Coturnix japonica: one gene and its partners. The protein of the gene in region 1 purifies or fractionates together with the protein of each later gene. This does not show direct contact. Links are inferred from orthologs where the notes say so. Each region holds a gene or a part of one and is shown on either strand. Other genes may lie near its edges. The genes, in order: STRN3, CCT2 and CTTNBP2NL.

Region 1 (3,747 bases):
TAGAGGCCACATGAGTTCACACCAGCACTTCCAGTCAGAGTTTTCAACATCTCAAAACTGCACCTTACATTTATAGAACGAGGTACTTCACTGTGAAGTCACAAGCCTATACACAAAACAAGTACTTCAAGATGGTCTTGCTTGATAATGAACACCACTGAGCTATTTATTTACCTATCAATACAGTACTATACTACTGAGACGCTACAGAAGATATGAGAACAAGTCCATTGCTACTGAAAATACCCACCCCATTTCCACCACAGTGATTTTAGGATCAGCTGTTCTGAAAGGTTTAAAATAGTAAATCAGGCAGTAAGTGAAATAAATAGCAAAATCTCTCTTACTATTTATTTATTTATTTTTTTCTGGGGGGAGGAGGGGGAAGGTGTGATGTTTTGTTTTCTTTTATTCTATCTCAATTCAAGCTGTAACAACAACAACCCTGCAAATTACACATGTGGTCTAAGAGTTGAAAAATCCTGAAAGAATTGTCCAGGTTTAGGTAGAGTTCTCCATTCTACAGTCTGAAGATGTACACAGACATACATCAAGATGTACACAGACGTACATCACAAACACTGGCTGCTGCTACAGCATGTTTCCACAAACTGCAGGTAAGGCGTGATTTGATGGAATGCTGCTTCAAGACTGCAAACATTCACCCAACATATAAATCATAACAAGAAACATTCTTTTTTAAACAATTTTAACTGTTATGCTTTCATAGGAGAAAAAAAAATGCACAACTTATAGACAAATGCCTCAGACTCTGTAGATTTCATAAACTGAACATAAGTTTGTGATGCGTGGCTTTATTTTTTATATGAACACGTAAATACAAGAGATCTTTTCCATTATGAAAAGCAAACATTTATGGCCAGAGATCTATGCTGGAACTCAAACACTTGCTCCCTGCCCTCTAGAGTTGTTCAATTTTTGCTCCTGACACAGAGTTTGTATTTGTAGGACAAGGATCACACTGCAGACCCATCAGCTCCTCACTATTCTTCAGCAGTTGCTTCTCCCACGTGAGGTCTCCCAAGAAACAAAAAGGAAGGAAAGAGAGCATGTGTTCGACCTGTCTCCACCGTGAGAACCCGGTCAAGTCCGTTGCTTGCGAGATTTCTCGACCCCGTTCTCAGCGTTCTCCCACCTCGGCAGGCACCGCCGCCTCCCCGCTACCCCGAAGGAGCCGCTCGCTCAGCTCCGGTGAAGCCGTATCCTTCCACGCCCGCGGGCCGCAGCTTTCCCAAAGCAGCACCCAGGGCTGAGCAGGGCCGGGCTCCGAAAGCCCCCGAGTCATTGTGCTCGGGGAGGGGACCGCAGCTGTCAGGGCGCTCCGGGCCCTGCCCCGCACGACCGATCAGCGCGCTCAGCGGCCGCCCGCCCTCCTCCGGCGTTTTGCGGCCCTCGAGGCCCGCGGAGCCGGGTTGGCTCCGGCGCCAACAGCCCAGGCGGGCGCCATGCTAAAAACCAAAATGGCTGCCCCAGGGAAGGGAGCCCAGCTCGGGCCGTGAGCGGCCGCGCCTCCGCCAGCCCCGCCGCCCGGCGACGTCGCTTCGCCGTCCGGCCCTCGCGCAGGTACCGCTCCCGTCCCGCAGCGACCGCCCCGGCCTTGGCGACCCGCCGGCCCCGCTCTCCCGTGCGGCCCCGAGACCCCGAGTCGGTCCCGGCCCCGCGCGCGGAGCCCACCCTGGGCCCGTACCTGCAGCTCGGCCCGCTCCACCTCCCAGTGCGCCCGTTCCATCTCGAAGCGGGCCCACTCGTGCTGGATGTAGTGCAGGATCCCCGGGATCGTGTAGTGCTGCGGCCGGGACAGCTCGGCGGGGCCCGCCGCCTCCTGCCCGCCCGGGGCCGCGGGGCCCTGCGGCTGCTGCTGCCCTCCGCCGCCGGCTCCGGCCCCCGCGCAGCCCCCGCCCGGCTGCAGGTTCGCGTTACCCCCGCTCTGCGGCGAGGGCTGCTGCGGCCTCGGCGCGGCCGCCATCCCGCCGCCTCCTCCGGCTCCGGGGTGCTCGTCCATTGTCTGCGGGGAGCCCTCCTTCTCGTCCCGCGGCGGGGGGCCACGAACGGGGGCCGGGGAGGGGGCGAGCGGCGCTGGCTGCGGCGGGCGGGAGGGGGCGGGCCGGGTACGGGGAGGCGGGGGGCCGCGCCGAGCGGTATCCGGGTGTCAGAGCAGCGCCCAGCCGCCGCCAGCCGCCATTACAGCCCGCCGGGCCTCGGCCCACCCACACGGGAAGGGGGAGCGGCACGGCGCGCGGGGCATGCCGGGAACTCGCTCCCCTCTCCCCTCCGCTCCTTCCTCCCGGCCCGACGAGGCGGCGGAGCGCGCATGCGCCTGGGGGAGGTGAGCGCCGTGACCTGGGGGGGGCTGCGCTGAGGGGCAGTGCGGGCTGATACTGATACTGATACTGATACTGATACTGATGATACCGATACCGATACTGCTCACTGAGCGGGCGGGGGGCGGCCGCTTTGGGAGGGGCTGTAAGGCCGCTCCGGTTGTGCCTCGCCGGGCTGTGCTGGGCGCTGCTCGGTGTGTCTCACAAGTAGGTGGTTCTAGAACAGGTTGGCTGAAAGTGCTCTGGCGGTGCCCGATCCTAATTGTATTGTAATGAAGGTCGTCTTCGTGCTGTTGTAGTTGAGGGGTTTGTGTAATGTTTCCCCTCCGTGATGGGAAGAACGAGCGCGCACATTAGCAGCAGGTTTGGTGTGCCATGGCAGCACAGCCCGGGTTGGCTGCACAGCATGGACGTGGTGAAAGCTGGGCTGCACAGCACTGCCCTGAAATGCAGCGCTACCAAGTGCCCACCACGTCCTGGTGGATCTGTAGGCCGCCCCTTCACAAATAACACACGGGTTCGGTTTTACTTCCCTAAAAATGCATATGCTGTATATATGGGTGGAACATGGATGGTGTCCTTAATGGGCTCGTTCTTGACAGTGCTGTAATTGTATTAAATGCCGAAAAATAAATCCTGCTTGTCCCAGTGCTGGCATTTCCTCTCTGCTGACCTCAGGTGCATGTTGCTGTTTCAGTTGTTTTACCAGTTCCTATCCGACTTTTCTCCATTAAGTCATTTCCTACCATCATTTCCTCAGTCTTCCCTTTTCCACACTGATCAGCCTGTCTGAATCCAACTTTTCCACCTCAGCAGATTTTTTCATTCTCCCCAGACAGTATCAAATCGTGACCAAAAATTGCCCCTTACCTCACAGTCCTCTTGGCCCTTTGTTTTACTCCAGCCCTTGAGACATTCCTCATTGCCCATTACCTTGGAAGTGCTGCAGTTTAGCTCCGTTACTATATTCAGGCAGCATGCTGACAACCGCTCTGCAAAGGAAAACTTTTTTAGCTGCTTCCTTCCTCCTTGGCTTCCCCAGATTAGTAAGGCTGCTTTTCTTAAAATTCCTCATCCTGAAGTTAAATATGGTGATTTATTTCAAAGCCACGTTGACAAAGTTGTTTCATTTCTGGGTGGACAGTAATTTGAAGGCTAAGGCCCAGAATACAAAAATGGTCACTCTTATTGATACGAGTTTTAGTAAAGCCTGTGCACAGTCAGAACAACAACAAAAATAAATAGAACACAGGTATAAACCATATGAACTGTCTTCATTTGCTACATGCTTTTTCACAGCAGACTCGTAGCTGGAAAGTTGATCAGACCAGTGTATACCTCAAAAGTGTTTGCCCACCTGCTGTCCCCTGCTCGCACTGGGCCACTGGGCCATTTTTAATTCCAG
Region 2 (3,747 bases), on another chromosome or scaffold:
CAAGGGTTTTTTCCTACCAGTTTAATGGCAACGGGGCAAAGTATTCCTATCCTTTGGGAGCCCACTTCATAAGCATCAACAACACATCTCCTACTGGCATCCCAGGACTACACAGCCTATATGAAACCGTCTAAAAATGTTAATACATCACCCTCAGCAACTCAGCTGCCAACACTGTGACAGACGTAGTTCCATCACCAACTTCATCATCTTGAACCTTTGACATATCTAAAAGAAAGGCACTGCATTAATGCTTGCATTCAAAACAGACTGAACGCCCCTAGCAGCTATTATCTTCAGCATTTGTACCTCACATGACTTTAAGGAAGAAAAAAGAATTCCACTGCCAAAGAGGCTGTCAAACTGTAACTCAGACTGAAACTGAGATGCAAATCAAACACAACATCATCCTTCAAATTCCCCATCGTCGTTTGCAACACAGACCTGTTTTAGCCTATCAGTATTCAAGAGCCACCCCCCTCTCAACGTGTGCCTAAAGATCATGATCAAAATAAAGTAAGGCCAGACAGATGCTCTCAAGTATAGATAAGCAATATCACAGAATATGTCAATTTTTCACACTGTGTAGAATATTTCTCTATGAAGAAGTTAAAACTACGTAAGAAAGTTACAAGTGAAGAAATTCCATGTATGACAATGACAAACTGTTAGAAACTCACCAACCAAGACCTTGGCAGCTGGGTTGTCAACTCCAATAGCTTTCAGGATGGTTGCACCATCATTGGTCACTGTCACCGTGCTATCCCTCCCAGTACTGAGGAGAATCTTGTCCTACGTGATGCAAGAAATAGAACAGTTTGAAAAAGAACAGTAACTATTAAAACTAAATTATCATACAATGGTGCGAGTTAGAAGGGACCTTAAAAACCATCCAGTTTCAACCTCCTGCTGTGGGCTGGTCGCTGTCCACCAGCTCAGGCTGCCGAGGGCCCCATCCAACCTGGCCTTGAACAGCTCCAGGGATGGGGGTATCCACAGCTTCCCTGGACAGCTGTGCCAGGGCCTCTTTACCCTCAGAGTGAAGTATTTCCCCCTTATAACTAATCTAAACCTGCCCTCTTTCAGAGTAAAAATATTACACCTTGTCCCATCACTACACACTCTTCCCAGCTTTCCTGTAGGCTTCTACACCGGAAGGCTGCACTGAGGTCTCCCTGGAGCCTTTGTTTCTCCAGGTTCAACAAGCCAAGCTCCTTCAGCCTGTCTCTGTAAGAGAGGTGCTCCAGCCCTCTCATCATCCCTGTGTCCTCTACTGGACCCACTCCAATAGCTCCACGCTTTTCTTGTGTCAGGCACCCCAACCCAGAGTATTGCAGGCATGTCCTCTTAAGAGAGAACAGGGGGGACAATGCCCTCCCTCTCTCTGCTGATTACAACTGTTTCAATACAGCCCAGAGCATGGTTGGCTTCCTGGACTACAAGCATGCATTGCTGGCTCATATTCAGCTTTTCATTCAACAATCTATCCAAGTCCTCCTCCACAGGGCTCCAGTCATTGCCCAGCCTGTGTTCATGTCTGCGATTGCCTTGACCCAGGTGCAGAATCTTGCACTTGGCCTCACGAACCTCCATGAGGTTTGCGTGGGCTAAAGCCTGAAATGAACAGGTCTGACCACTGAGGACTTGAAGCTATCTTACCATGCCTTTAGGTCCCAGAGTGCTCTTGACCAGGTCACCAATAGCGATTGCACCAACAAAGGATGACTGTAACAAAAACAAATACACCTTAGAAAATTCTTTATTTCTACTTTAAAACAGTAAGTAAGAGCTAGGCTCTAACTTCCAAGGGGACATCTTAACTAAATTCTTCTACAGGCAAACTCCTTCCAGAAGAATCTGGTTCCAAGTTTCTTAAGTGCTACATTTCAGTAACGTACTTAATTTTTGCAGTAAGCATAAAACCACATAACAGAGCCAAAAGACTTCCAAGGAATAAGAACCTCCTAAGCTGAGATACACAGAATCACAGAATGACCCGGGTTGGAAGGGACCTCAAGGATCATGTAGTTCCAACCCCCCTGCCTGGCAGGGCCACCAAACATACACCTTTACTAGATCAGGTTGCCCAGGGCCCCATCCAGCATGGCCTTGAAAGAAGAACACTGCTGATATGAACAAAACACTTCTACCTTCTGTAACAACAAAAGACAAAACGAGACTACTGAAGCTCTACAGCAGTACACATTGAAAGTAAATTTAAATGTAAAAGAACGACTGTAATTACCCAGAGCATCATTTATCTGAGAGAATAAACTTACCAACCGAGCTGTTTCTGCTTTCTCTTCATCTGCACCTGCCTTGAAAATGTTGACGGGAGCGAGAGAAATGGACGCCTACAGCAGAGAGAGCAGAGAATAGTCCCGGAGCTTTGACAAAACACTGTATTCTAAACACAAATCCCCAGCACTAGCAAGCTAAGATGGCTTTAATACTGAAATCATTCCCGTGTCACGCTTGGTTTTGATAACAAGTACATTAATACTGAATAGACCCGCCCGCGGCCTAACGGGCTCGCCTCGTGCGCGCTCTGGAACCTTCCAGGCCCAACCTCCTCCTCCACACTCCACTCCACTCCCCGCCGCTCCGCGCCTCCTTCGTTCCCTCTCCCCCCCTCGGGTGGAAGCTCCGCGGGCGCGGTGCGGGGCCGTCCGTTGCTCACCATGATGCCGAGGGACACACAGCCGGCTCCGGTACGGGACGAGCTCACACACCGCCACACAGCGCCACAGCACGGCGGAATTGCCGTCACAGGAAGCGGCGGGGATGGAGCCGCGCGGCGCTGTGGGAGATGCAGTCCGCACCGAGGCGGGGGGAGGGAGCGGGATGGGGCAGCCCGCCATTACCTCAATGGGGGCATACAGGAAAGGGACTTGTCACAGAGCACAGAGCATGTACAGCTACTAAGCTGTACACTGAAACAGGGCTCGTTGAGATTAGACATTTATATATGAGGGTGACGGAGCACTGGAACAGGCTGCCCAGGGAGGTGGTGCAGTCTCCTTCTCTGGAGATATTCAAGACCCTCCTGGACACCTACCTGTGCGACGTGGTGTAGGGAGCCTGCTTTGGCAGGGGTGTTGGACTCAATGATCTCTAGAGGTCCCTTCCAACCCCTACAATCCTGTGTGATATTACAGAAGAGCAAAACAGGCTACTAATGCAGTATGCACCCACACTAACAGCAGCACATATTAAAGTAACCCACACGTTATTTTCAATGTAAAATCAATAGTTTATTGCCATGCTACAATTATTATTATTTTTTTTTCCAAATGAAGTTGGCACTGGTAAAGGGGAAAACATCATAATACATAATACAGCTTTAAAGGTGAACATTTGGTAAGCTTTCTCAATTAGGATCGCTTCAAACAAGGGGGGGGGGGGGGGGGNCTGTTTGTTTTTTGTTTGTTGGGGTTTTTTGTGTGTTTTTTTTTTTTTAAGATTAACATGGAATGGCATAAAAATACACTCTTTCTGCATAGTATAATTTTCATCAAAGAAATATGGAATGTCTGTAAAAACAAATTCATCCAACAGGGCAAATGAAGTTTTATAAACAGTTTGGCAATGATACTCTCACTGTTTAGACCTTTTTATATAAAAGAAATAAAAATCTAGAAAGCTACCTTTATACAAAGTTGCTATATTTATGCCTTTAAGTAGGAAAAAAAAAACATTTTATAATGCAAATTAGGACATACAATAATCTTACAATATCATACAATG
Region 3 (3,647 bases), on another chromosome or scaffold:
TGCTGTTTATTGAGATGTCAGAAAGCACCTTTCCCAATGAAAAGAGAGCAGAGAAGGCAGTATTTGTCAGTCAGAATGGAGCTCTCCTACCTAAAATTTGTCCTTAAGCAATCCTGTAAGAAATGGTTGATGCTTGGTAATGGTTTGCCCATCATGTTCCTGCTGAGGAAGTGAGCAGTGATGCTGATGTTGTTCTAAGTGCCCTCATCAGCAATATCATGATATCACAGAATGACCTGGGAAGGGGGGATGTGAACTCTCAACAATTTCCTTTTATTTTGTTTAGCAGGGTTTGTGCTTTAAGTATATTGACGTGCAAATTTGTTTTGATACACAGGCCCAGCACAGGGACACCTTCATTGAAGAACGCTATGGAAAGTACAACATCAGTGATCCATTAATGGCTTTGCAGAGAGATTTTGAGGCCCTGAAAGAGGCGAATCATGGCGAAAAGCAGCCAGTGTGCTCCAACCCCTTATCCATCCTGAAGGTGGTGATGAAACACTGCAAGAATATGCAGGAAAGAATGTTATCCCAACTAGCTGCTGCAGAAAGCAGGCACAGAAAGGTACGTTTTGCTTCTAATAAGCTACACAGAGGTGGATAGCTGCCTTTTGAAGTTATGTTGGTTTCGATAACAACACTGAAATGCTTGGATTTTGGTGACTGAAAGGGCTGTGCACCTTCATGTGAGCTACTTGTCACTCTATGATGCAACTGGGAGGCTCAGCAACTGTAGTGATAACATTGAGGTTTCTATTAGAGGACATGCAGAAGGAATTACCTTGCCCAGAACCAAGAGATGTAGTTGCAAATGTAAGAGAATAGCTGGGTGGTTGAATTCTGAGCAGACATATCACTGTTCCCTATGATCATCAAGGATCTGGTACCACCTACTTATGGGAGAGTGCCTCCTATAAGATGAGCTTTCCTAACACAGTGTGACGTGGCCAAAGCTGCTTTTCATGCTGTTTGGTCTCTTTAATAACTCACTTGTACATGAATGTACCTTGAATGAGTTGTCATCAGTGATGTTCAATCAGGCTTCTTCCCATAGGCTTGCCCATCTAGCACACCTTAGTTTGTTAGAGGAGGATAAAGCCACAGTGTATAGAACTCAAAGACCCACTACAAAGTACTTTCTTCTTTTATCTACTTAGCTCTTAAAAAACAAACACACAAATCCCTCTGTTTACATGGTGTTATCTCCAGCACCTGCACTGCAGTGCTGTGTCTCAGCCTCTTCACATAGAATGGCCTGGGTTGCAAAGGACCTCAATGCTCATCCAGTTCCAACCCCCTGCTATGTGCAGGGTCACCAACCAGCAGCCCAGGCTGCCCAGAGCCACATCCAGCCTGGCCTTGAATGCCTGCAGGGATGGGGCATCCACAGCCTCCTTGGGCAACCTGTTCCATTGGGTTACATACTGAGAAGCAGCTGGGATTTTGCTTTTACTCGCATCAGAGTAAGCTTTTACAGTGCCAAATTTAAGTCTTATTTTTAGCTACTGTTTTGATGGGGATATGGCAGAGCAAGGTTCTTTCAGTCTGTGAGGAGCGTGAAGCATTTCTGATGCAGAAATCACTCACAGTGATATGAGCTGCCAGCTGGGCTTCCCATCAGTGTGCTGAGTGCTGGCAGCTGGAGCTTTCAACTGCCCATTGGTGTGCTGGGAGTCATGGGAAGCATGATGTGTGTCACCTTTCAGACAAGAATCTAGCTAAATATTCACAGGAAAATCAGATTTCACCCCCCCCCCCCCCTCTTTTCCTCTAATAAAAAGGTTCCCTGTGTACTTGAAAGATATACAAGCATTGTTTGGAAGCCTAAATTGCAGGAAGACTGAGAAGCTGCTGTAAATTCCTGGTCGCTGTTTTTTGGAAGGCCTGGAGGTCTGCAGGGTGATGCAAACTCACCCAAGAGACTCCACCATATTTGGCTTTCTTTTTGTTGAGCTAATAGAATTTCAGTTGTTCTAGATCAGCATAGAAACTGAAGGAGCTCCTTAACCGGGTCCTTATGGCAAGCGGTTTCATTTCAAGAGCTCATCTCATTCTTAAGTGGAAGAAGAAATGAATGTTCTTTAAAATAAACTTTGCTCCGCAGCCCTCAAATGGAGCAATCTGTCTGCAAATTGCAGCCTGTTGTGCCACGTGCTCTGCTCCTGTTGGCTTTGTTAGAGGTGCAGACAGGAGGTGACAGGTAAGGTGCAGCCAGTAGTGACAGATAACACAGTGGTGGCTCTTTTGTATAAGCTAACTGCAGTGTGGGTGCAGGTCTCTGTGTTTTGTTCAGCATGTGAGCACAGCAGGGCACTGTGGTGACCAGTGTTTGCTTGGCAGGTGATCCTGGACCTGGAGGAGGAGAGGCAGCGACATGCCCAGGACACAGCAGAGGGGGATGATGTCACCTACATGCTGGAGAAGGAACGGGAACGACTCACCCAGCAGGTACAGCTCACTGCCCAGCCCGTGGTTCCATGCAGCTTCAGTTGGTTTGCTGAGGCCAGATCACACCTCAGTGTCAAAAGAATATCATGAGCCTCACACCTTTGTGAGTCCCTCTGAGTTATTATCATTTCAATAGGAAAAACAGATGTAGTTTTCTGGTAAGCTGTTCATAAATGAGTGCTTTGTAATCTTACTTCAGACCAAAATCTGTGCAGTTCTGAAGAGCCCAGAGCCCTGCTCACAAGTGATGATGCTTTCTAGTACTTAAAAATGAGAATAAATCATGAAAGGTCTCCTAAGGGGGTTGTTGAGAGATTATAATAAATATTTAAGCTGCTATTTTCTGTTACTGAAGCACTGTGGGCTTTAATAAACATAAATAACACATCAGCATTTTAAAGGCTAAATGCTTCTAAAAGGCAAACTGACAAAGCAGTAGATGGGGTGGAAGGAAGATTTGCTTCAGATCAGTGCGTGCCAGCTGCGTGTAGCTTAATGCCAACTGAATTTCATGTGCTAGTAAGTAATAATCCATAATGTACATGAACAGAGCTCCTTATTGTACAAGGCTGTCCCACAGACACCAGGGGAAGGGCTTCTTTATTCACCTTAGGCATAGCCATCTTTTTCTGGGCAGTATTTCCAACGTGTGTTGTAAACCCTTTTGCTTTTGGGTTGTTATGCTTTGTGGAGGCGTTGTGCTTCCCATACAGCCTTTCTTTGCTCCTCTCTTCCAGCTGGAGTTTGAAAGATCCCAGGTTAAGAAGTTTGAGAAAGAACAGAAGAAACTCTCGAGTCAATTGGAGGAGGAGAGGGCACGCCACAAGCAGCTGTCCTCCATGCTTGTTGTAGAGTGCAAGAAAGCCACTGCCAAAGCAGCAGAAGAGAGTCAGAAGACGGCAGAACTGAGCTTGAAACTGGAAAAAGAGAAGAGCAAGGTGAGTAAGCTGGAGGAGGAGCTGGCATCCAAGAGGAAGCGGGGCTTACAGATGGAAGCACAAGTAGAAAAGCAGCTTTCGGAGTTTGACATCGAAAGAGAGCAGCTGAAAGCCAAGCTGAACAGGGAAGAGAACCGTACAAAAGCACTGAAAGAAGAAGTGGAATCGTTGAAGAAAGCCCTGAAAGAGCTGGAGGCTGCTTGCCAGGAGCATGGTCCTGCTGAGCCTTCACAGCCAAGTCTCTCTGTGATGTCCAGA

The links.
Region 2: the proteins of STRN3 (region 1) and CCT2 purify together in Homo sapiens (affinity purification with mass spectrometry; 3 studies listed by BioGRID and IntAct, with this or other methods). This does not show direct contact. The link is inferred for Coturnix japonica from reciprocal best matches to the Homo sapiens genes STRN3 and CCT2.
Region 3: the proteins of STRN3 (region 1) and CTTNBP2NL purify together in Homo sapiens (affinity purification with mass spectrometry; 4 studies listed by BioGRID and IntAct, with this or other methods). This does not show direct contact. The link is inferred for Coturnix japonica from reciprocal best matches to the Homo sapiens genes STRN3 and CTTNBP2NL.

The regions. Positions count from the first base shown.
Region 1 is NC_029520.1:30,850,831-30,854,577, reverse strand, and holds the start of STRN3 (striatin-3), read right to left. Parts: upstream 2,217-3,747; 5' UTR 2,024-2,216; coding exon 1,709-2,023; intron 1,585-1,708; exon of another isoform or gene 402-1,584; intron 1-401. UniProt on the Homo sapiens protein: Calmodulin-binding scaffolding protein which is the center of the striatin-interacting phosphatase and kinase (STRIPAK) complexes.
Region 2 is NC_029516.1:32,201,120-32,204,866, reverse strand, and holds the start of CCT2 (T-complex protein 1 subunit beta), read right to left. Parts: upstream 2,817-3,747; 5' UTR 2,684-2,816; coding exon 2,681-2,683; intron 2,355-2,680; coding exon 2,280-2,354; intron 1,726-2,279; coding exon 1,660-1,725; intron 793-1,659; coding exon 681-792; intron 229-680; coding exon 152-228; intron 1-151. UniProt on the Homo sapiens protein: Component of the chaperonin-containing T-complex (TRiC), a molecular chaperone complex that assists the folding of actin, tubulin and other proteins upon ATP hydrolysis.
Region 3 is NC_029541.1:3,554,756-3,558,402, forward strand, and holds part of CTTNBP2NL (CTTNBP2 N-terminal-like protein), read left to right. Parts: intron 1-337; coding exon 338-568; intron 569-2,343; coding exon 2,344-2,451; intron 2,452-3,188; coding exon 3,189-3,647. UniProt on the Homo sapiens protein: Regulates lamellipodial actin dynamics in a CTTN-dependent manner. Associates with core striatin-interacting phosphatase and kinase (STRIPAK) complex to form CTTNBP2NL-STRIPAK complexes.